Linked DNA regions of Styela clava. The protein of the gene in region 3 interacts with the protein of the main gene of each other region in a biochemical or structural test. Links are inferred from orthologs where the notes say so. Each region holds a gene or a part of one and is shown on either strand. Other genes may lie near its edges.

Region 1 (7,748 bases), on a different chromosome or scaffold from region 3:
AAAACATATATATCTGATATGACACTGGGCTGTAAATCGGAAGTTCTGTTCATGGCTTCCATCACTTATTTTTAACCATATTTCATGAGATGCTCCACATATCTGCTCCAGACAAGGCTCTAAGCCAGTTTGGTCAACTTTTTCTACGAACTAATATGAATTATGATATTGATCATTTCTGTAATTCCTTTTTTTTCTATCTGACAAGAGTAATGATGTATCAATATATAAGTATTATAAATCAAAATCTAATTTCGATTACAACCAGTGGTGGGATTTAGCCGGTTCGCACCGGTTCTATAGAACTGTCTCACGGAATTTTATAAGATCAGCGAACCGGTTGGCATTACTGGTTACTGCCAATGACTTTTCGTAACAGAACCGGCTGAAAAATATGACTTTTGTGATCGAACCGGCTGACAAAAAATTTGATTTCCACCACTGATTACAATACATTGATTAGGTAGGCCGTAGGGTGGTCAACGATGATAGTCGTAAAAGTGCGACTATAAAGAATTGTTTGCGTGTGACTATTTCGCAAAGGGGACACTCTATAATCTACGAAATGTAAAATATTTCTACTTCCATTATGTCAACGATGCCAATTCACTCATCCCAATATTCATGTCGAAACCCGTTGGTGTTTAAGCTAACAGCGTACATAATTTATGAATGTAGCTCACGAAAATTGATTAAGCTAAATTTTTTTTACGTGTCAGGCATCGAATTTGAACTCATACACACACCTGGAGAAACCCCTGATCAAATCACAGTATGGCTGCCAAAGGAAGAAGTTGCAATGCCGGGTGACAACATTTATAAAACCTTTCCTAATCTATATGCAATCAGAGGCTCGCCTCCGCGAAATGTGAGAATGTGGTATCAAAGTCTAGACAAAACCAGAGTTCTGAAGGCGAAATATCTTGTGGGATCCCATACCAGACCAGTTATCGGAAAAGATGAAGTTTATGAAACCTTGACGGTGTACAGAGATGCAATAAAATACATTCATGACCAAACATTACGGCTCATCAACAAAGGCTATTATCCTGGGCAAATTGTTGCTAATGTCAAACTACCCGACTTAGTCGCTCAACATCCGTTCTTGCAAGAACACTACGGCACTGTCGCATGGTCCGTGAAAAGCGTTTTCAATGATTACCTTGGGTGGTTCAGTGGAAATCCGCAAGATTTGCACCCGATGACTGAAAATGAGCGTGCTACACGGATGGCTAGGTTAATAACGTATGCTCAAAGTCAACAAATCTGCGCGGCGGAAGTAATGCTACGTGAAGCTGAAATATCTCACAAAAAATCGTATGAGCATTATTTGTCAAAGGGGAAGTATCTTGTGACTGAAGACAAATGGGCTTTGGAACTAGTTGATACCGTACTTCAGCTCGGTAGCTTAGAAGAAGCTCTCAGCAACACAGCTCGACAAGTGAAAATAAGTGCACTTAGAGCACTAGGCGTTGAAGAAATAAGCGCAAATGGCAGAAATTATTACTTGACCTGTGCATTGGAATTAGAATCGAACATTTCGCTGGATCAAACGAAAAAGGCCATCTCCATAACAATAAAAAGGACCCCCATTGAGAAAGTCCTTGAAATGTTAAGTCTCAAAGTAAAAGGTTTGGAATGTCAGCATCAAAAATATACGATTGGTCTCACATTTTTAGATCTGGATAAAGATTTCATATTGACCCTACGGAATAGTGTATGTGACGTCATTGAAGCAGGTACGGAAGATGAAAATCCACAAGTCCGGCTGACAATGAGGTCTGATGTGTACAAATCAATAATGAATGAAAACAAAAATTGGGAGGAAGAAGTCAAGGCTGGAAACGTTACAGTGGCGAGCGGAGCATTGGAAACCTACATGAAATTTTTAAAATGCTTCGACCCCCTCAACTATGATTGATACTTTGAGATTGGAAAACACAACAAACAATTTTTATAATTTCTCTATGAAGTGGAAAAATATGATCTAATAACAGAATCCATCACCGCATACTATTCATATATATAACCTCTAATTACTGAAGACTAAGTGATATTGGCATGAATTCATATCATACCCTTTTGAATTCGATCATACAACGCGATTCATCATATAAGATTATGTTTAATTTGTGGATAACATCATTCAATCATTAGAAAGTATATTATCAGATCAGTAACAAGAGAGCTATGCTCAAATATATGGACACGTAGCGCCACCTAATGGCAATAATTTTGATGACGTCATAGCAACAACAAAAAAAGTAATAGCCTTCTGAAGAAAATTTTTAACTTTAACCACTGAAAGTTTCAAAGCAATTGGTCCAGTAACCAAAGAGAAAAGCGACTTTTTAAAAACTTGTCAAAGAACAAGAACATAATATTGAAACGATCGCTATGTCCACTACGTGTCCAAAAATAATATCTTGACTCGTATATATATTAAGAGCATTCTAATTTGAAAATGAATCGAGATTTATCGAATGAAATTAAGTTTACCTTGATGTTTGAATATTAAAAGCTTGATTGTACAATAGCCTATATTGAACAAGTTACATTTTATCAGATATGTTGTTGTTTTCGCATTCACCTTAAAGTAGTAAGTAACCCGAACAGTTTGGGGCTTGGGCCGCGAAACATTTACAAATGTACCATACATTTTCGATTAGATCGGGAAATCGTGGCATTATCATGACGTATCAACAATTATGAAACAATGTAAACAATTCATAATTTAGGTACGCCCCCACATGTTGGAAAGTGTAAGTATGCTACTGGGCAGATAAATATTTTGTTGAATTCGGTTGACATTAACAAAGACGCCGGTTTCTGTGGTTCTCATTTTTATGTCCAATAAGTTACATTTGAAACAATAAATAAACCAGGTTTCGATTTTTGTAAGTCACAAAATGAAAATGGATAACTTTGGAAAAAGAAAAGGTAACGAAATAAATGAAAAAAGGGAAGGCTCGAAAAGTTGTAATGAGAAAATATGAATCTGATTACATCAAATATGGTTTCATTGAGGCAGGAAATGATTTTGAGCCAAAAGCATAATGTGTTGAGTGTTATTGTTACTTTGCGTGTGAACTTGTCTCCTATCAAGCCTCGACTCGATCTAATAATATCCAATATGCAAGCTCAAGTTTCGCATAAATAGTAGATTTCATGATTGTGGATACATTGTTTCTTTTCTCATTCATTAACATCTCATTGCGGGTCGCACAAAAACGCCAATAAAGGTGGGTCGCGAACTGAAAAAGTTTGCGAAGCACTGGTCTAGTCTCGATAACAGTCTTGGGACGACGAAATGACCATCGAGTTATTTGATTTATACTTAAATTCTGGAAACACAACTAAAAACTGACAAGTAGCATGCAAAACCACGAAAAATTGGTAATATAAACCATGCCTGAAAATTTTTCTGAGTGATAACTGGCAAAAGTGTCTCAGTGGAAAACATCCATAGGATTTTTAAATTTAGTTGTATTTCTACTAAAATTCATAACAAACATTGTAATGTAAGTGAGGTGACAGGCGTTCTCAATGTCGTTGAGATTAGTCGATGAAAATGATTTACATAATGCAGGAATTACCGGGAACAATAAGCCTGGCACGTATTCAAATAATTTCACTTTATTTGCATGTTATTAGGAAAACTCTTTCAAGTCCCCACTCGGAATCCTCTTCGTCCACTTTATCCCAAGTAAAATATTCGCCGAAAAGTTCGGTCATGTCCGCATCCGTAATATCGAATGGGTTATTGATCCAAGTTCTCTTTTCGCCAAAATACATTGCACTCAGCATGTATTTTGCTTGTTTGTCTAAGACTGACCGCATAATTTCGACGTATGGTTTTCTTGAGGCAAGCTCAATTGTATTCAAGCTTGCCGAATCCCACACCGCGTCGAACAGTCCACCAGCGATATCCGAATTGAATTTAAAATAATCTCCTTCATATATAACTACATTCGCAGTTTTTCCGGTATACACTCGAAAACTGTGATCTTTTGTTGAAACCGATTTTTCGAATTCCACTGAATTTTCCTCAAAAAATTCCAAAATGGCGTGTTCAGAACATTCTAATCCAACCACTTCGTACCCTTCGTCAATCAACCACTTTATATCTGGTGACTTTCCGCACAATGGAAGAAATATTCTCTTTCGAATGGCGTTTGGTAAAAGAGATTTGATGTGCTTTCTAAGCATTGGGCTGGCCTGATCAAATGGATTGTCTTCGTCGCCATGTTCGCAAATATCACCGCCTTTGCTACCTTTACTTTTAGAACGTTCGTAATCCTTTTTCCACCATTCATTCCACTGATCTATGGTTAACAACTTGTGATCTTCCGATTCTGCCATTCCTGCTGTTTGTAACAAACGGTATATATTATGAAACAACGCTTGAATACGGATACGGGCATACGAATCGCTGGTCAAAATATAGTCACTTTGGTCAAAACATAGTTTGCTGATCGAATCTTCCATTGATTACTAGGCGCTGTTCCTCTGTAAAGTCATGTTAAATATATCTGTATAAAATATGTAGGAAAATGATTGTTTAAGTTAATGTATATATTTAAAACATGTGGTCCACAAGTGATAAACTTCTCATAGAAAACTAGGTCGAAAAGGAGTTGGAAATTTGATCTGAGAATTTACATTGGGAACACATTTCTTCGCATGACGGCGTAGCGCTCGAGTGAACGCAAGCCGGCTATTAGGTTTCTGAACCCGCATCACATCACGTATTGCTCCAGGCGTGCACCGCAGTTTTAGCGTTTGCAAATTTGCACATTCAATATGATCAAACGAAAAGCGCCAACAGATAATCCTAATTCTGGAATTACAGATTTTTTGACAGGTAACGTTGTCATACGGTAAGCTTTTGGTGAATTGAGTTGCTAGTCGAATGGAGAAATTAGATGAAATCGCAAATGCTGAAATGCGAGTTACCTAGCATAGGCTATAACGAGCATAATTCTGCGATGGTTTTGTTTTTGATAAGAGTGTAAGAACGATGAAATAAGCCAGATAAATGAATAACTGAACCAGGTATTTCAAAAACCCCATTCTGCGATGACATTCGAGGCTAAATAGCGTCTTGGGGTTTTCCTCAGTGCACATTTTTTAATCCATCAGATTCTGAGATAAGCTAGCCTCGAATAATGAATAATTAACAATTGGATAATCATTAAAAATTGATTGTTGGGTTACTCCGCTTAATTACAAAGAAATCAGACCTAGACTATAATTTTTTCTGTTCAGTCTGAACCTTCAACCAACACTTTGTTGACGTTTAAAGTTTTTTGTTGTCACTTTTTGCTATTGGTAATTCAGTGCTGGATTTTTTGTCAGTCATTCAAATTGTGAATTAATTATGAACTATTATAATACCTTCACCTTCTTTTTTGATTTCAGAACTTGCTGATTATGAGAAAAATGTCAACAGATCATTTCATAAATCAAATGCATATCGGAAAGCAGCAAGTGCCATATCAAAATGTAACGAACCAATAAAAAAGGGATCAGATGCTCGGAAACTGGTCAGAAAAATTTTGTACCACAATCTAAGAAAATAGACGACTAGGCCTATAGGCTAATAAAACGTTATTAACGTTGGTACGAAAATTACCCAAAGTTTATTTTTTGCATGAATCAAACCATTTCGTCGTTTTATAAATTTCATATGACAATTCTGAAATAAATTTTTTTTAATATATAAAAGGTTCGAGGTGTTTATTTATAATATGTATTATTTGCAGGAAGGCGTGGGTGCAAAAATCGCTGAAAAAATTGATGAATTCCTTACCACTGGAAAACTTCGCAAGATTGAGAAAATTAGATCAGATGAAACATCTCAAGCAATATCCCTTCTCACAAGAGTATCAGGAATTGGGTTAGTAGACCTATTTCAATTTTTTAAGAAAAAATAAACTTTTGTTGGGAAATGTAATCGTATAAGTTCAGGGTAGTATTATTTTAATTGCTATTTAGAAAAGTTTCCCTAACATTTCAATCGGTTTCAAGTCGAAACAACCCGTGTTTTTTATTAAAGCCTGTAAGAATCTATTTAAACATAGCTTGCATCTTTAATTGTACTCTGCCTTTTGCCCATTACTTTATATCTTTCTAATTTTGAGTGTTTTTTTATTATTCTCCATTTACTTTAACTGAACAACTTATCGATAACCTTTATTTTCTAACAAAACTATAGTCCTGCCGCTGCGAGGAAATTGGTTGATGAAGGTCTGACAACGCTTGAACTTTTACGAGAAAATATAAGTAAACTAACACATCATCAACAAATTGGACTCAAGTAAGTCTGCTTAGAAATTGTTCAGTTACCCTAGTTCTTTTGATTATTGTTTAAATCCAGTACAGAGTTTGTTACTTAGCTTCAATTTAGGTTTAAAAAGTAACTGAATGTAAGAGATTGTAATATGTAAGTAATAATTGTAATCGAACAAGGAAATGTAATTAATTGAATTTCTTGATCCATTGTTTCTCACACACACACACACACACGGTGATATTTTTTGTTGGTGTTTATTTGATGACCTATTTTGGAAATAAGTTTAGAAGCAACTTTTTTTACTAGGACATGTGTGAACCGATATCAGAGTTTTTGTTTTACGAGGTTAACATTGTTTTGAACCAGGCTATATTGGCTTTTTGTAATATTAAGGAGGTCGATTGAACTGACTGCCAAAATTGTTGTTTTATTTAAACATGTCTATGATATCATTGTTCCTCATTAAATGTACATGAACTCTTCGTTCAAGGTACTTTGAAGATTTCGAAAAAAGAATTCCAAGAGCGGAGATGGAAGTACTTGAAGTATGCTATTCCATATTTCCAAACTTTCTGTATCAGATTCTCAGTTTTATTATATCTCTACATTTAAATTAAACATTTTTCTTTCTTGTGATTCACACACATGCTGTTGTCGGTCAGAATCTGGCCGAGCAAAAACCACGTTTTGCAGCCAATTTTTAGGTTAGAGTATTGGACACAGTAAATTGACAATTCCTGCCTGCTTGATTTGTTATTGAAATTTATTATTAAACATAAACTACAATTTAGAACCAACAGCCTTAGCAGAGATACCTATATACTGTATATACATGCCGAAAGGTCACCCCACCGTATAGGTCGTGCTATTAGTTTTGTGTTAAAAAAGTTTAATTTAGAGTTGACTCGCACATGAGTCGCACTGAAAATCTAGGGATTTAAAAGCCCTTTCCCTAGCTTTTTTGCATAGATAACTTCCTATTTTGTTTTTTTTGTAGGGCATAATATATTCAAAATATGTTTACTTGCAATTGCAATAGCCGAAAATTTTCAATTTTGTTCCGACTTGGTGGCGATTTGCACTTGTGTCAAGCAGATTAGTCGCACCTTATAAGAAAATAATTGCGTCTTATCTGCGAGTATGTACGGTAGTCATTTACTAGCACTGTTTCGGCTATAGTTTTATATTGAAGGTTAAATGAAAAATAGTTCTAGTAATCTATCTAGTCAATAATCTGTTGAATAATTCTATTATTATTTTTAGAAAGTAGTCAATGAAAGAATACAAGAATTGGATAAAGAATACAGAAGTCAAGTATGTGGAAGTTACAGACGTGGGGCATCATCTAGTGGTGATATTGACGTGTTACTTACTCATTCCTCGTTTTCTTCAACCGATAAGCAGAAAAGGGTGAGTTTTGCAACAAGAAGATGATAGAAACGCTATATTATGC
Region 2 (7,614 bases), on a different chromosome or scaffold from region 3:
TCCATAGGGAGTAAAATTTAAAATTGACCTTTATTACTAACCCAATAGTTTTCACTGCTCTATATAGATAATAAAAAATTATCCTTCAGGCTGAATTTAAATTACTAACAAATTTTTCGTGCTTTATGGGATGATTCTTGAAGTTTTATTAAGTATATGATGAATTTCTGGATTGTATTAAAATTTTCATGTAAATGAGGTGAAGTATTCCACTTATAATTAAAAAATTGAATGACTTTTTTTCTTGCTATTATATCAGTTTCTATGGCCTATTCCAATACCTTACATTGCTTTTAAGAATAAACATTCCCTCTTAACTGAAATTTATGCTTGTTTTGCTTAAAAAATTGGTTGTTCTTAGTCTAGTTGTGTTGAATTAGCTAGATGTCGATATGTTCAATGATTCTCATAATCACTTATTCAATCCTGTGTTGATTTTTTTGTTGCTTTAATAACCCATATCTAATTACTAATACAACAGGGTAAAGCTATGATTATTTTAACATCTCGTACTAAATAATTTTAATACAAAGATGGTTCATATTTTCGGTTTCCATCTGATTTATCTGTAGTTAAATTGAAACCATGTATGCTAATATTATTTGCTTGCAACTGTTACATTCTTTTTGATTTTGATGCGTTAACTGTCGCTAAAACTACCATTAGATTTCATTGCTGAAAATATTTCAATAAAAACTGAAAAGGGCAATAAGTTTGTGCAATTGTATGGATCGTGCAGGTTCGGTAGTATGGCAAATTACAGTGATCCTGTAACCAATCAGTGTCCGTAAATAGTTAACCAGCTTCTTGTGTCAAATGCATGGAGTTGATGGCAGGAGAAGCTGTGAGCTCACACATATTTATTCCTATGGGATTCGAACCCACTCAAGGTAGTCAGAGGTGTGGTGTGTGGTGACATGCATATTCCTAAGCTTCGCACAATGCGATAGCCTGACTATACTTTCTGCAACATTATTAGTTCTTGGATGTGTAAGTGAATGCAAAAATTCTAGAATACACCCTCACAGATAAAAGCAGTGCATGGCAACTTCAGGAACACGGAGATGTCACAAGAAGATTGTGACCCATGCGCTTTGTATGCTAAGATTGAAAAAATAGTCAAATGAGAACATGTTCTTGTGGTCCAGGATAACATAACAGAACAAATTAAGGGCAACTCTTGACCTATCATAGTTTATTTGGCCCGTTTGAGCCAGTTGAAAAGGGTATTCGGCGCTTTCACACGAATCTCCATTATCCTCCAATTTTGAGTGCACTTTGAATGTGAAGCATTGTTTATGTTAGGGACTATTTGTACACAATTGACTGGTTTTTATAAGGGGTCCCAACACTTTCGGTGTGAACAGTCGGTTTCAAGTCACAGTTCTAGAGAATCATGCACCAGAGGAACAGGTTTGGGCTTGAATCTTTAACAATTAATGCCATGCTCATCCCGCTATATATTTCAAATCAACTATTTTGGCTAGAATGTACACAACTCTACCGCATTTGTTTTCTCATCTGTTCTGGCATCACATGCCCGCCCAATCATTTAATAGAAAAAGTTTATTCATTGTATTTTTGAAATTTAAAGACGAATTTTACCTTTGTAGCAAACGGGTTCTACTACAAGTATTCACAATAACATGCATAATGAAAGTCTTTATAACTTATAGATTTCGTTCAATGGAGCAGTTATATGGTTGAATCATCGTTCATCAACATTGCGTACCTATTTGATATGGGATTCCTAGCATATATTTCCTAAAAATTTGGTGAAACATACCATAATAAATGTCAATATACAAGAGCTTATAGGTGTAGAGCTTGCAACAAAGATTTGGTTTGTTAATGAAAAAAGCTGGTAAAAATAGTAACACAAAATCTTTAGCAACAAGCACACAACCCTGTCCGATTCCATAGGCTTTGTCAGTTCTTATTAGTGAGAGGTCCTCATGGATTCATGTTGGTCGTTTTGATGACCAAAAGATGTTTCATTCACCTTGTGCATGTATCGATGTATGATTGCATTCAAGTATTGCACAATTTGATGGAATAGATTACAATTGAGTCCATCGATGACCACATTGTGGGTTTGTGCAAACAAAATAAAGTCTCATGCCTTCCTCTGCTCTTGTTGATTGAGATTGGAAGAATACAGCTTCTTTATGCTGACATCTGAAAAATATAAAATGGAAAAGGATAGAAGCAAAGTGAAAGAATAATCAGGTCTCTCATCAACTTTAGTTGCCTAGCCATAACTATCACAAGAGTATTATCTTTCTACTGTTTTTTTCTTCTGATGACAACTTTAGACCATAAACTTGAACCTAATAAAGCATTATCCGCTTACAAACAAATTTGTATAAATATTTTTTTGTGAGCTGGTTCGAAACTAAAATCTTTCACGGCTTACAAAACACCACAAATCTTCTGCAATTAAATTTGGTCTTGACTCATTTATTTAGCAATGATAGCTTCGAGCTTGTTTTGATACAAGCAGATGCTCCCTCCCACATTTTAATACCACAAGCATTGGAAAATCAGACAATTGAATTTCTTTTCCATAAAACACCTGGCAGAAAATAGGTTGGTAGGCAGTAACAAACTGTGATACAGAATTATTGTTAGATTGTACAACTTATCGCATCTACGTATAGATACGTACCATTTCTGCATATCTGATAATAAATCCTAATTATTAGATGAACAGCAGATCTGCAAGATATGCTATGACATTCATAAAGATGTATAAAAGCCTACCTTATGATCGATGGATCTAATCCAATCAAAAACACGGTAATTATAAGAAAAAAAATTTGAAATATACATTGTAACTATAAACTAACTTGGGACATGAATGATCCTTTGTTCGTGGCAAAGTTGGATCTTGTGCTACATCAGCAATGATTTGTGTTAATTCATCAACTTCATGGACAATCTTATTTACATAAATACATGCATTGTCAGCTTCCATTTGAAAGTCACAGTTACGACACTGAAAGAGAACATAAGGCTCAGTTAAATATAAAACTTGAACTAAACTTCTTCAAAAATCATTAACAACTGATATGATTTCTTGATTTTGTGGGATATTAAACAAACAATTTCAGGTGCACATTGTAAAACCAGAATGTTTACTCAGTGATTCCCAACCCCAGGACCGTGGACTCGTACATAAAAGCCTTGTTGAGCCTTGAACCTTGTCGAGGTTGCGAAGATATCAGGAAAAAAAAGCAATAAGCACAAAGCTTAGGGGTTTGAAAAAACATTAACTTCTAAATGGTATTTATCGTATGTAATAATCTCAAATAATAAACAAACTTGGTAAAATCAACGTTTGTATAATTTTCATGTCTTGAGTCGGCTGCGATTCATTTCATTTCAAAAATGGTTCATGCCCAAAAAAGTTTGGGAATGTGCAAGTGCAACTTCATCTACTGGGTTAAATAATAATATTCATTTCAAGTAAGGAGTACACGGACATAGGTAGTTCGAAAAGAATTATCCTATATCTATATTCTATTCATTAGCTTATCTCACTGAGTAGAGTAGAATTCTGTTCTGCTTGTCTTCTTTTGGATAGAGCATGTTGTTGCTAAAAAGTTGTAATATTAATTTAGTAACAATTTAATGAGACGCACTAATATATGTCTGTATTCATCATTTGAAAAGCATAGAATTATATCTCCTGATCTCAGAAATTGCAAATGACAAAGCCAACCACCGTCAGATGTGGTTCATTTGAGTGTATTTGCATATGTCTGTATGTAAAAATTTTTTATCCACTTCAAAGCAGGTGGCGTATCAAAACGAATTTTGCATATAGTATTCCTAATCCCCACCTGAATATGCCATCCAAAAATTACGTCATTAGGAAGTCATCATCAGAGCTTGCCAAAGCATAACTACGATCGCCCGAAATGGCATCTGCGCCTCAGATAACAAACTTGCTAGCGCCGACGAACTCTCTCATATCGTGATCATTGCGACGAGAAAAATGGATTGCTCGATTTCGAGTGATTGTCTGCACGTTTTGGACGACCATCCTCATACTTTGGTGGGCCTTATTACGCCACTGTGAATTCGCAAGGACGTGATTTTCTGGTGACGTAGTCAGGTGGGGGTTAGAAATGACATATGCAAAAATTGTTGAGCCAGGCCAACTAGAAGTGCATGTAGTACTAAACTATTCCAGACCCAATATGCCAACGCTTACACACAACCCAACTAACAGACTAAACTGTAGGAACTGGGAAAAGATTTAGACATTGTAAACTCACCATTCTTGACAAAATTTGATTCCAACAAAACCAGGTCCTTTTTGGTTAACGTGCTCTTGCATTTTGATGACGAGCTGCACAATTATGCTCCAGAAATACAGAAATATGATTTGTAGCGAACAGACAATGAACACACAAGACAGGCGGACAAAACCGAACAATATGTAAATTGTGAGGCGCTAAAGAGCAGTACCGGCACATCATACACAGTAGGGGAATTCCCGTTGTCAACGGAATTGACCTATGTCGTTATGATTTACCGGGAAAAGATTCGCATTTATTACTAGTACAGTATAAGTTTATTTCGACTCCAAAATCAGCACGACAGAATGAGATTTGTAATATTTTTTTTTTTACATTGTTACTCGAACACCTTACGAAAGATGGCGCAATGATCATTGTGATGTCCGGACGTTGACATTTCAGCATTTGCTGATTCAGGTGCTGGCCGGTTAGAGAAAATTTCATACTGGATTGTCAACATTGGATTTCATATGTATATTTAATGGTTTGTATAACTGTTTTATTTTTTCTATAAATAATTCGCACTCAATAGGGTTGTTAAACGTGTCATCGCCTTTCCTCGGGGCTCCCTAAAACAGTAATATTTTTTTAGACACCATTGTGGGCACTATGATTTTTTTTTCAGTAGTTTATTAAGATTTCGGTCTCTTGAATAAACATGTGCATTTCTATATCGCATGGAACAATAATATATGGTTGTATAAGTAGGATCAAACTTCCCAACTTTATGAGGCAGACTATAATCAATTTGCCAATGGTAAAATATGGCAACCCTGAGCAGAAAATCAAGCACTCTTGAAATTTCAGGCACTTTGAAAAAACATAATTTCCATCATTTCTGCTTTCTTTATTTTTGATTTTTCTGCTTTAAAGTAATCATTAACATTAGGACATATCTAGGTATTTACAAAGTGCCTGAAGTTTCACGAGTGCCTCTTTTTGTATTGAGTGTTGCCATATTTTACTATTGAAAAATTAATTATACCTTATTAAATTGAAAAATTGCATTTTTTTAATGTACAATTTCATTCAAGGTCTAATAAAACTTAACCCCAATGAACTACGAAAAAAAAAAGAAAAAAAAAATTAATGTGCCTGAAAAAGTGCCTGAACTCTTATGTTTATAAAAAGGAATTGAATTTTTTGAGGGCTCGTTAACCCTTTCAATGCGATTTTTATTTTTTATTAAATAATCGTATTTGCTACGCTGATTTTATGCATTTGTACCCCCACAACTAATCGATCGACTAATGAAAAACTAATGATCCTCTGCTGCCCACTGACGACTCGTTAGAAAGCTTATTTAAAGAGCTTGCAGTTGGCGATTAAAAAAAAAAGTTTTTTAAAATGTGGTGGTCTGAGTCACAAACCGGATAGAAAAAGGGCATTTTTTTTTCTTGGGAGTTGAAACTTCAAACCGTGATAAAAAAATAGAAATATTAGCTAAACCCTTTACTGTTACCGCTTCGTGGTTGGCAAACAATAGCATAATATTGCTGTAGCAATTTCGTGATCTAACTCAAAATCCTTTGGTAGATGGAAGGGATAATATGTCTTCTATTACCACCCAAAAAACACAGAAATTTGCATAAATTTCAAAATCACTCCCTCGTTCCGCCGCAAATAAAATTCCCGTTGTAAACAAAAGCGAGATTTATCGTCGCTTATGTTAATCTCGAAGAAGACTTCTTATCAATAAACTAAAACCCGGATAAACTAGACCAACAATTTGCGACCGATTGCTAAATAAAACTATGGGTAACTTGAAGTACCCGCCGTGATCTAGCGAGTTTTGTCGTTGGTACGTATACGTGCCCACCGCCTGGAAAGGGTTAACAGGCTTAAATTTAAAAAATATTTTTTCACTACAATAATAATGACATAATATGTTTCAATTGAGCTCTTGATGGAATGCAATAATACGAGTTAAACATAAAAAAAACATAACTTTTGTTGACCTTATAGGCTATGAACAAATAATTGTAATTGATTGCGTGCCTCATCCTAATAAGAATTTTCTTTAGGGGTCGGTCGATCTTGTTAACCTTGCAGTCTTACCCGCCCCTTTGCGATTATATTTCATGATTACTGTTTATTCTTTTTACTGCAATGTGTACATTGATGATAAATTCGGAAATAAATTATTATCACTCTCTCATTATAGGGTCATAGATAATTCTGTATAATGCTTCAATTGAGGTGCTGTAATGATAGACACGAACCTATTCCATTACCAAATGGTGTTCCTGTCATACTAGGAAGAAGTCCACAAACTAAAATCATTGAGAAAATTTGTTCAAGAAAGCAAGTTGAATTAACAGCAAACTATGAAAAAGAAAGCGTCACTTTGAAACATCTTGGAACTAACCCGTCTATGATTGGTCAACAAGAGATTGCAAAAGGACACGAGAAGAAGTTAAAAGTTGGTGATATTTTCTATTTTGTTGTTCAACAATATCCACATGAAATTATTAAAACGCAAAAAACAACAGCTGAAAAACGAACAATCGACTCATATTTTGGGCCTAGTTCTTCAGAATCCAAAACGGAAACACCAATACCAAAAAAAGCCAAAATGGTAAATGAAGATGAGGTATCGGATGATCAGAGTGATGATGAAAATAAAGTTGCGGAAAAGCTCAAATTTTTACAAAGCAAAAGTCTATCCATTGTGAAAACAGAAAAATCAAAAGATGGTGGTAGAGAGAAAAATGTATTTAGAGGATGGATAAAATCTGACTATCCAGTTGGTTGGGAAGAAAAAGAAGGCTTATTAATTTATCATTCTCCGCAGTTGTATAATTCATCAAAAATAGCAGCATTTGATATGGATGGTACAATAATAACAACAGCATCGGGTAGGACATTTGCAAAAGATCATAATGATTGGAAGATACTTTACGCCGAAGTACCAGGAAAATTGAAAAAGCTTCAAAATGACCAATATAAAATAGTGATAATAACCAACCAACTGGGGATTGGGAAAGGTAAACTTCAACCAAAGGATTTCAAAACCAAAGTCGAAAACATTTTGGGAAAGCTTGGTATTAAAGCTCAGGTGATAGCAATTACGAAAAAGGGTCCGTCTCGAAAACCTAACATTGGAACATGGACTTGGCTGGCAAAACAAGGTAATGGGGGAATACCGATTGATATGTCTCATAGTTATTATGTCGGAGATGCAGCTGGCCGCCCAAAAGATTGGGCTCCAAAAAAGAAAAAAGATTTTTCGTGTACTGATAGATTATTTGCTATGAATTTGGAAATTGATTTCAAAACTCCCGAGGAATATTTTCTTTCACAAAAG
Region 3 (7,496 bases):
GTTTTCAAACCACTTTGAATTTCAAAAAATTTGTCATCCATTCATTGACCTGATGAATCGTGTGTTGTTTGTAAAGATATTCGAAACATCGAGGCAAAATATTGTATCGTTTTCATCAAAGAGGGTGAGTATATTGATCACCATGGATACCAACTTGTATTTAAATTTTCTTTCTTTGCCATTTGGTACATCTTCATTGACATTCCAGGTGGAATAGATTGGGAATCATCAGTTTCTTCTTTAATTTTAAAACTGCCGAATGTTTTTCGACCATCATTAGTTTTTTGCTGAAAATAAATATTCTATAAACTTACAGAAAACGCCAACAAAAATCACAACACTAGTCATTATATTATGAAACAATTCTGACTAGTACTGGGTGACCCAATATACAAGTTATTTGAATTGGAAAATATTCTAGAGAGAACATAAGTTTTGTGCAAAACGTCCTAGATTACTGAAACTTTTCGGTACAACCATACACAAACAGAAGTTCAAGGGTAAAATAATTTTTTTCTTCTTCATAGAATTGATCACGAAATTTATCGGTTTCCTTTTTTGTGTCTCCCTGTATATCACAGGCTTACTAATTTCATACAAGGAAAAATAATTTGCCCATGTCCAAACGTCAATACAGCAAAACCACAAATAAATTCTTCAATCGCACCGACTTAAATTAAAACCATGTTGAAATACCTTGACAGGAACCTCTGGTTCCTTTTGTTCAATATCATCATCTGTGGTATGAAATTTAATGAAAGATAAACCATATGTTGATCTCTGTAAAAATAATGTAAAACAAAGAATATAAAATAGGGAAACATTATATAGAACGCTTAGGCTCCATCAGGAACTTCTGCAAAAAGCATTCATGATTGCTGCTTAACAATGGGAATTGAAAAATCAAAGCTAGACCCAAGTAATTTGAGAGTCGCACTGTTATATAAAACAAAATATTTTTGTTCAAGTTAACGCTTAGGCTCCATCAGGAACTTCTGCAAAAAGCATTCATGATTGCTGCTTAACAATGGGAATTGAAAAATCAAAGCTAGACCCAGGTAATTTGAGAGTCGCACTGTTATATAAAACAAAATATTTTTGTGCAAGGATGCAGCAGCCAGAAACATTCATAAACTACATAGAATAATTATCTTTATTCTTGCTACAGTATCCTTGCATTATACCGTATAAGGATCCACAAGCACAAAGTCATTGAGCCAAGAAAGATAGTCTTGCATAACCCCAGCAAATAGATATGAAAAAATTAGTTTCTTATTGAGAATTACTGATTTTATTTATTAATGTATTATATTATAAGGTTTTTAAATACACCAATGTTTTATAAATGAAGAACAGATGCAAAAAGGATGATCCCTTGACATTTTATATTCAACAAGAACTTGGTGAGCAGGCCAATATGATTGCACCAAAGTATCAAATATGTCTGATTAATTCATGAATTACAGAAATCGAGTTTTCATTCCAAGTCCAATACACCAAATGTTTTTTATGCATTGTTAATTCTAAAATGATTTACAGAATAATAAAACCCTGAATGATGAACCTTATTAAATGGCTGGGTACAAACAACTTTAACCAGGTCCCATTTTTGTGATGCAATGTCTGATGTAAGTTTGTCTTTGTTAAAGATTCTGACTCTATTGGGTGGTGAACCTTGTCTGCTTTCTTGGGGACTCATGAATGAGGATGCGACAAGAATAACCTGAAATTAAGTAAATAGTTATTGAGAGGAAACTTAAGAACTTATCAAGAGGGAACCGAAGCCACCAGAAATTTCAATGGATTTAGCTTCGAACCATTCAATTATTTTTTCACATTCATAATTTCTTAATACTTTATAAGAAAATCTTTTGCAGCTTAAAATTTTTCATAAATTTAATTTCTAAAAATAAATCTAAAGTTTCAAGTTAAAAGGCATATTTAAAATTTGAATTTGAAAATTTGTCTGCATTTATTAAGCTGGTATTTTATGATAGTGATTCATCATACCAAAAAACCCTCAATGGCTTAGGAGCCGGAACCCAGCTAGAGTTGGAAAATTTAAGTTCTGGATCTGGGTCCTATGCCATTTCAAACCAAAACACTGATATTTAATGCACATATTAAACCTACTACTTGGCACAATTCCACTTGCCTGATATTGCACATTGTCATTGCTCGATCTTCCAACCAAAACTTCAATAAAAGCCGATCCTTCGTTTGCTATATCAATGCTTGATAACTGAGTTGATTTTTCAAGTTGGAAAACAATGCACGCCTGTTTCTCACCTGCAGCACATTTCCATTTCCGTGATGAGTCTTCATTGAGAAGGTTGTCAGCTTTATGTGGCTGTTGTATAATAAATTTAATAATGAAATGTTGGAAAATAAACACACTGATATCAGGCTATAACCCAGGGTCAAGAAAAATGTCTTATTTATAAAATCAATTGTGTAAGACACGGAGTAGTAATGCATTTTTCCCACGCAGTAAGGCATAATTTTGTATTCCATATCTGAAGTTTACAAATGATTCAAAAGTCATGGTGCACAATCAGACAAATATGTTTCTATAGTTTCGTTTGATGAAATCTTCACTCTTGCTGGAGCATCTTTGCATTATATGCATGAGGAGCTACTGCCACATTGCAGGTTAATGACAAGTGAATAATTTCATAGAAACTCAATCGAAAACTGAAGTTCTAAAAACTTTATATTATACCTTTGTTATATTGAAACGGCATAAACATGATTTCAATAAAAAAATGTTATTTTCCCAGTGATAATTTAATCAAAAAAAAAGTTTTTCATAGCACTAATTTCAAATTTTATTTTACGTAAATCTATGGTCACCACTAATTGACAAATAAAACGAGAAAGAAATCTTTCACTTTAACCCCAAAAAGCAAAAATTTTGAATTTAAGTACTTACAGTTTCTTCGCTACTGAACGAGACAATATGCTTTATTTTTACAACAGGCATTTTATAATCTAGATACCATCACCTATGGAAAGAAACATATTCTATTCTAAAACAAAATTTAAACATAAATAATACTAGAGAAGGCATAACAAAATTCAACAAATAAAAGAATTCATGAGCAAGTGATAACTGATTGTTACACAAATGACCACAGAGTATTTCTAACTTAAATAAAAGTTCAATCCAAATTTTAACCGATTTTCAAAATTTTAATGAATAATTTGTTAACAACGTATTTGAAATTTTCTAGTATGATTGAGATCAGAATTTATTTAACAAATATAACATCCTTTTTAAAGCATGGAGGTGCCAGTCCTAATTAACACAAAGCAATCAAAGCAGGGGAGAGACTATAAAAATAAGAAAGCCAACGATGGAGGAAAATAGGTATATATAAGTGCAGAAGATTACCAAGCAGTTGGTTGAATCGAAAACATATTTGGTATGTGTCACTTGGTGGAAACTTCAAAACTCTAAATTTGATACAATTGTCATGTTTTTAAATTTCAATTCAAATAAATACTGATTAATCATACAGAAACAATTTGAAAGTATAGTTGAAATATGGTAACATAGTCATGTATTCAACGGAACGAATAAAATTTCAAATTGTGAAATATGTACTGCTATGTTGTAGTATCATCATCAATAACATTGTCAGTTTCTTCGTGTTTTTGTTTTATCTCTTTCATTTCAAAACTATTAGCATCTTGCCTCTTTTTGAGAGCTTTACCCCCTTGGTAACCAATTATAGTTCCAGTGACACCAGCTGCTGCTAGGCCTGTCGTGACACTCCCAAGCTTAAATCCTGCGACCATCCCAATTGGACCTCCTACAGCACCACCAACGACAGCACCTAAAATTGGAAACATGGCAGCTTTTAGTATTGTTGCTTTTCTTAATTGTGATTTCCCTTCGTTTATATTAGTTTCAGCGTCTTCAATATTACTTGATATGTCATCCACCATCTTACCCTGATCATGAACAAGGGAAGAAAAATCGTTCATTACTGTGTTTAAATCCACAATGTCTTTTCGTAATTTATCCCACCATTCCTCAACATTTGCTTCCTCCTGCCGACTATCCAATTCTAAGATTTGGAAATTTGATTCATCTGCTTCTTCTGCAGAAGATGTGTCATCATCTTGTTTTTCGTACGCCCCATATTCATTTAAGTCCCCTCTGCTAGAACAACTTGACTCTATGACAAGTCTATTACCACGCAACTGCACAAATGCATCCTCATGTATGTTTTTTTCTTCAGGCATATTGGATATATTTTCACTAGAGCCGTGGTAATTTGATACAAAATGATCTCCAACTGTATGACTTGAAATAGATGTACCTGAAACAGAAGACTGTAATAGTCTGTTACCAACAGTTTCTGGATTATCTTTATTGCTTCGTTGATCCAAGGAACCTACAATTGATCCGTCACTTTTTAATCCTTCATCATGTATTTCTAAAAATTCATTTATAGATGCTTTCGCTTTTTCTTTTGCCAAATCCAGATGTTGGTCAAAAATAGGTAAATCTTCTTCAATAACTCTAGCCCTAAGTAATTCCATTTCATTAATATTTCTAGTCAGTTGTTGTACCGTTCTGCCAGAATTTATATATTCTTCTTGTAATTTCCAAAATTCTTTTGACTTTCTCCATTTTCTAATATTGCATTGATGTCTGTGAAGCCTGTCCAAATCGGCTGGTAATGCTACATTAACAAATGTGTGTACAGAGCTTTCAACTCTTCGAAATGGTACAGTTCCTTTGTGTTGTACGAGTTTTATTCCTAAATCATCCTCTTCGTCATCTAAAAGTTCACCATTGACCTGTTCTGGTGGTTTTTTGTTTGTGTTTATAAAATCCAACGGATTCCTGAATAAATACGGGAGTTTCCAATTCATAGTGCCAAAGTTGAATCTTTTAAAACAAATTTCACAGTACAATCACCAGCTGGATTTATTCGAAACACCATCGATTGAATAAAATATAAAGTAACACCTGAAAAAAAAATCACACAATTTTACAGGCTGTAATTTCTTGGCAAAAACTGAAAATGTGAAATGAAATCAAGCAATATATGTAATGAATATTCACACATTGACAGAAATGTGAAATAACTTTATTGATATGAAATTGCAAAACTTTACGTAAATATTTATTACATTTTGTGGTCTAATACTTGGTTTTCATATATACTACTATGCGCCGTAGGCGGTCATGGGTTTTTTGATCGACTCCAAAAATAAGTATACACATAGATTCCCTTTTTAAACAATATTTATCTCCCTCAAGTGGTGAGCGACACTTGACATCAATTTTTACAGCACCAGTGATAAAAAGGCAATAATCAAACAATGCATATAAAGATATAAGAGGAACATATCAGCAAAAGACAAAAAAACTTCATTTATAATGATATAATGCAGTAGGTACAAAGCTATAGGGTCGATAGACAATACATAACTACAAAATATACCTCTGAAATGCATATTACACAAATAAAACTAACAATTTCGTCATATCGCCACAGTAAAACCAAAGTACTGCAGTTTATGTGACAGGGACTTCTCTCCTTATTGAAGAAGGACATCTTTTTTCAAAGCTATCTGTATCAACTTTATTTTAGGTAGTAATGTCCTGGCTGTTAGAAGCAAACTATTACAAAATGGTGTTTTTCTCAAAAACCTCAAAATGTGACAATAGCTACGGTAACTTGATTTTACTGCGGCGATATTGTTTTCAGTTTTTGTAACACTTGATCTGTATATGATAAGGTTGACATGACCACCACTCCATGAAAGTAAATGAGTTTATGGCAACAAATAAGCAGAACCTACATCCACATTAATAAGCACTCTGAGTAACATATTCAAGGATCAGGAATAGTTTCAGCTTGTTTTTTTCTTGATAAGCAGAAGCAAAAAAAACATATTTTTTATCATAGTAACATACATGCCCAATGGCAGCAGTTGGCATGATCTATTCTATAACATGAAGATTCAAACAATTTATAACTGGTAGACTATGCTCTAGTCTGGCCACTATTCGTTATTGCACAGTTGATAGCAAGAATAAAATAAATGGACATTTTAGATAGGAAAATCGATCGGTTCATTATCATCAACTTCAATTGTCGGAGGTTCATTCATGGACATTTCATCATCTGAATCTTTATTTAACTTTGACAAATCTAATAACGTCTTTGGCTTCGTATCATCATTTTCGCTATTTTCCTCCTGAAAAATTTCATCTGATGGAACAGCTTGCATAGAAGGTGATAAATTGGTCGCATCATGGGGGCTTGGTGCTTCTCGAGCTGAAGCTTTAGTTCCTTCGAAAGACTTTAGGTGAATTCTTAGATGCAAATTAACTTCAGAAGATCTGCTTAAATATGGAAAATTACCACCTGTCTTTAAGTGAGCCCGCTTTGCATTTGGAAAGCATTTGTACATGTCATCCTTAACACTTTGTGACAAGGCACTTTCATCAAAAACATCCATTAACGTAACAGCAATGTGTTGTAAGGAATGTGGCTTTCTAACATAATCCCCGTTACAATGAAGTACGAGACGTGATGCAATTTCTTGTTGAGTGAGATTTTCAAGACACTCAACAACGAAATCTGTTGCATCCGCTTGAGGGGCATCCGTAACATCTCGAGTGAAACTGCCCATTACCAGTCGTTTCAAAAGAAAACCAGGTATGAGCCAAAAAGCTGATGATGCTCTCGTGTATTTGAACACAGAAGTATCTGTAAAGCCATTGCATAAAACTATTGAAGCAATATATGGCGTATTACGCATTCTTTCAGCAAACTTAAGACCAAGATAAGCACCCAGCGAGCAACCAAATATATGTATCTGATCCAAGTGAAGATGATCAATAATTTTTCGTAGGCCAACGCAAAATTCTTCAACGGTCCAGTAAACTGGATAATCCAATGCTATTGTTCTATACCCCATGCCGGAAAGACCCAACACTTGCCGGTAAAAAACATCAGCTTTTCCAGCCGCTGGTGGGAGACAAATAATTGGGCATTTTACAGTCTTTGGTCCAGCATCATATAAGCTCCAAACTTTTGAATCCCCTTCATCTACAATCACTCTTTTCAATGGAACTGCATTACGGAAACTAAGGTATTCATTGGTTGCGACCAATTTATTCATACCTCAATTCTTTGTGTTCAAAAATTAAAATTATCTCGTGGAAAAACCAATATTGGCATGACAGGCAAGAAAATGACCGTCTTAGCCTTCGATATCATAGATAACCTCACGAACAAACTGAAATAAAATGTTGAGATTATAAGAAATAGATGAATGAGATAATGAAAGGCTTTTAGCTCACATGTTTTACCATTATCATGAAGTAAATGGCTCTGCGGTTTAGCTAGAGATGGGCAATATAGAATACTGAATCCGGAAGATTCGAATCCAAAAGGAATCGATACCAGATTCGGCTTCCCCCTCTTCGACGCCGTGCGTCAATTTTTGCATTTCGGATTTCTAAA

What was found.
Region 1: the proteins of DNA repair protein XRCC1-like (region 3) and DNA polymerase beta-like form a complex in vitro, tested with the Homo sapiens proteins (5 studies listed by BioGRID, with this or other methods). The link is inferred for Styela clava from reciprocal best matches to the Homo sapiens genes XRCC1 and POLB.
Region 2: the proteins of DNA repair protein XRCC1-like (region 3) and bifunctional polynucleotide phosphatase/kinase-like form a complex in vitro, tested with the Homo sapiens proteins (3 studies listed by BioGRID and IntAct, with this or other methods). The link is inferred for Styela clava from reciprocal best matches to the Homo sapiens genes XRCC1 and PNKP.

Annotation. Positions count from the first base shown.
Region 1 is NC_135251.1:20,816,765-20,824,512, forward strand, and holds the start of DNA polymerase beta-like, read left to right. Parts: upstream 1-4,724; 5' UTR 4,725-4,803; coding exon 4,804-4,864; intron 4,865-5,421; coding exon 5,422-5,546; intron 5,547-5,765; coding exon 5,766-5,899; intron 5,900-6,217; coding exon 6,218-6,319; intron 6,320-6,785; coding exon 6,786-6,840; intron 6,841-7,558; coding exon 7,559-7,705; intron 7,706-7,748. Other genes in the region: linear primary-alkylsulfatase-like, read left to right, coding at 720-1,921; putative thiopurine S-methyltransferase, read right to left, coding at 3,637-4,488.
Region 2 is NC_135258.1:17,043,035-17,050,648, forward strand, and holds the start of bifunctional polynucleotide phosphatase/kinase-like, read left to right. Parts: upstream 1-4,590; 5' UTR 4,591-4,791; intron 4,792-6,471; 5' UTR 6,472-6,492; coding exon 6,493-7,614. Other genes in the region: DNA-directed RNA polymerase II subunit RPB9-like, read right to left, coding at 2,061-2,178, 2,850-2,998, 3,544-3,598, 4,284-4,345. UniProt on the Homo sapiens protein: Plays a key role in the repair of DNA damage, functioning as part of both the non-homologous end-joining (NHEJ) and base excision repair (BER) pathways.
Region 3 is NC_135250.1:11,227,927-11,235,422, forward strand, and holds the start of DNA repair protein XRCC1-like, read right to left. Parts: upstream 3,054-7,496; 5' UTR 2,984-3,053; coding exon 2,933-2,983; intron 2,351-2,932; coding exon 2,156-2,350; intron 1,724-2,155; coding exon 1,565-1,723; intron 781-1,564; coding exon 697-780; intron 288-696; coding exon 155-287; intron 1-154. Other genes in the region: syntaxin-17-like, read right to left, coding at 3,610-4,887; maspardin-like, read right to left, coding at 6,076-7,152. UniProt on the Homo sapiens protein: Scaffold protein involved in DNA single-strand break repair by mediating the assembly of DNA break repair protein complexes. Negatively regulates ADP-ribosyltransferase activity of PARP1 during base-excision repair in order to prevent excessive PARP1 activity.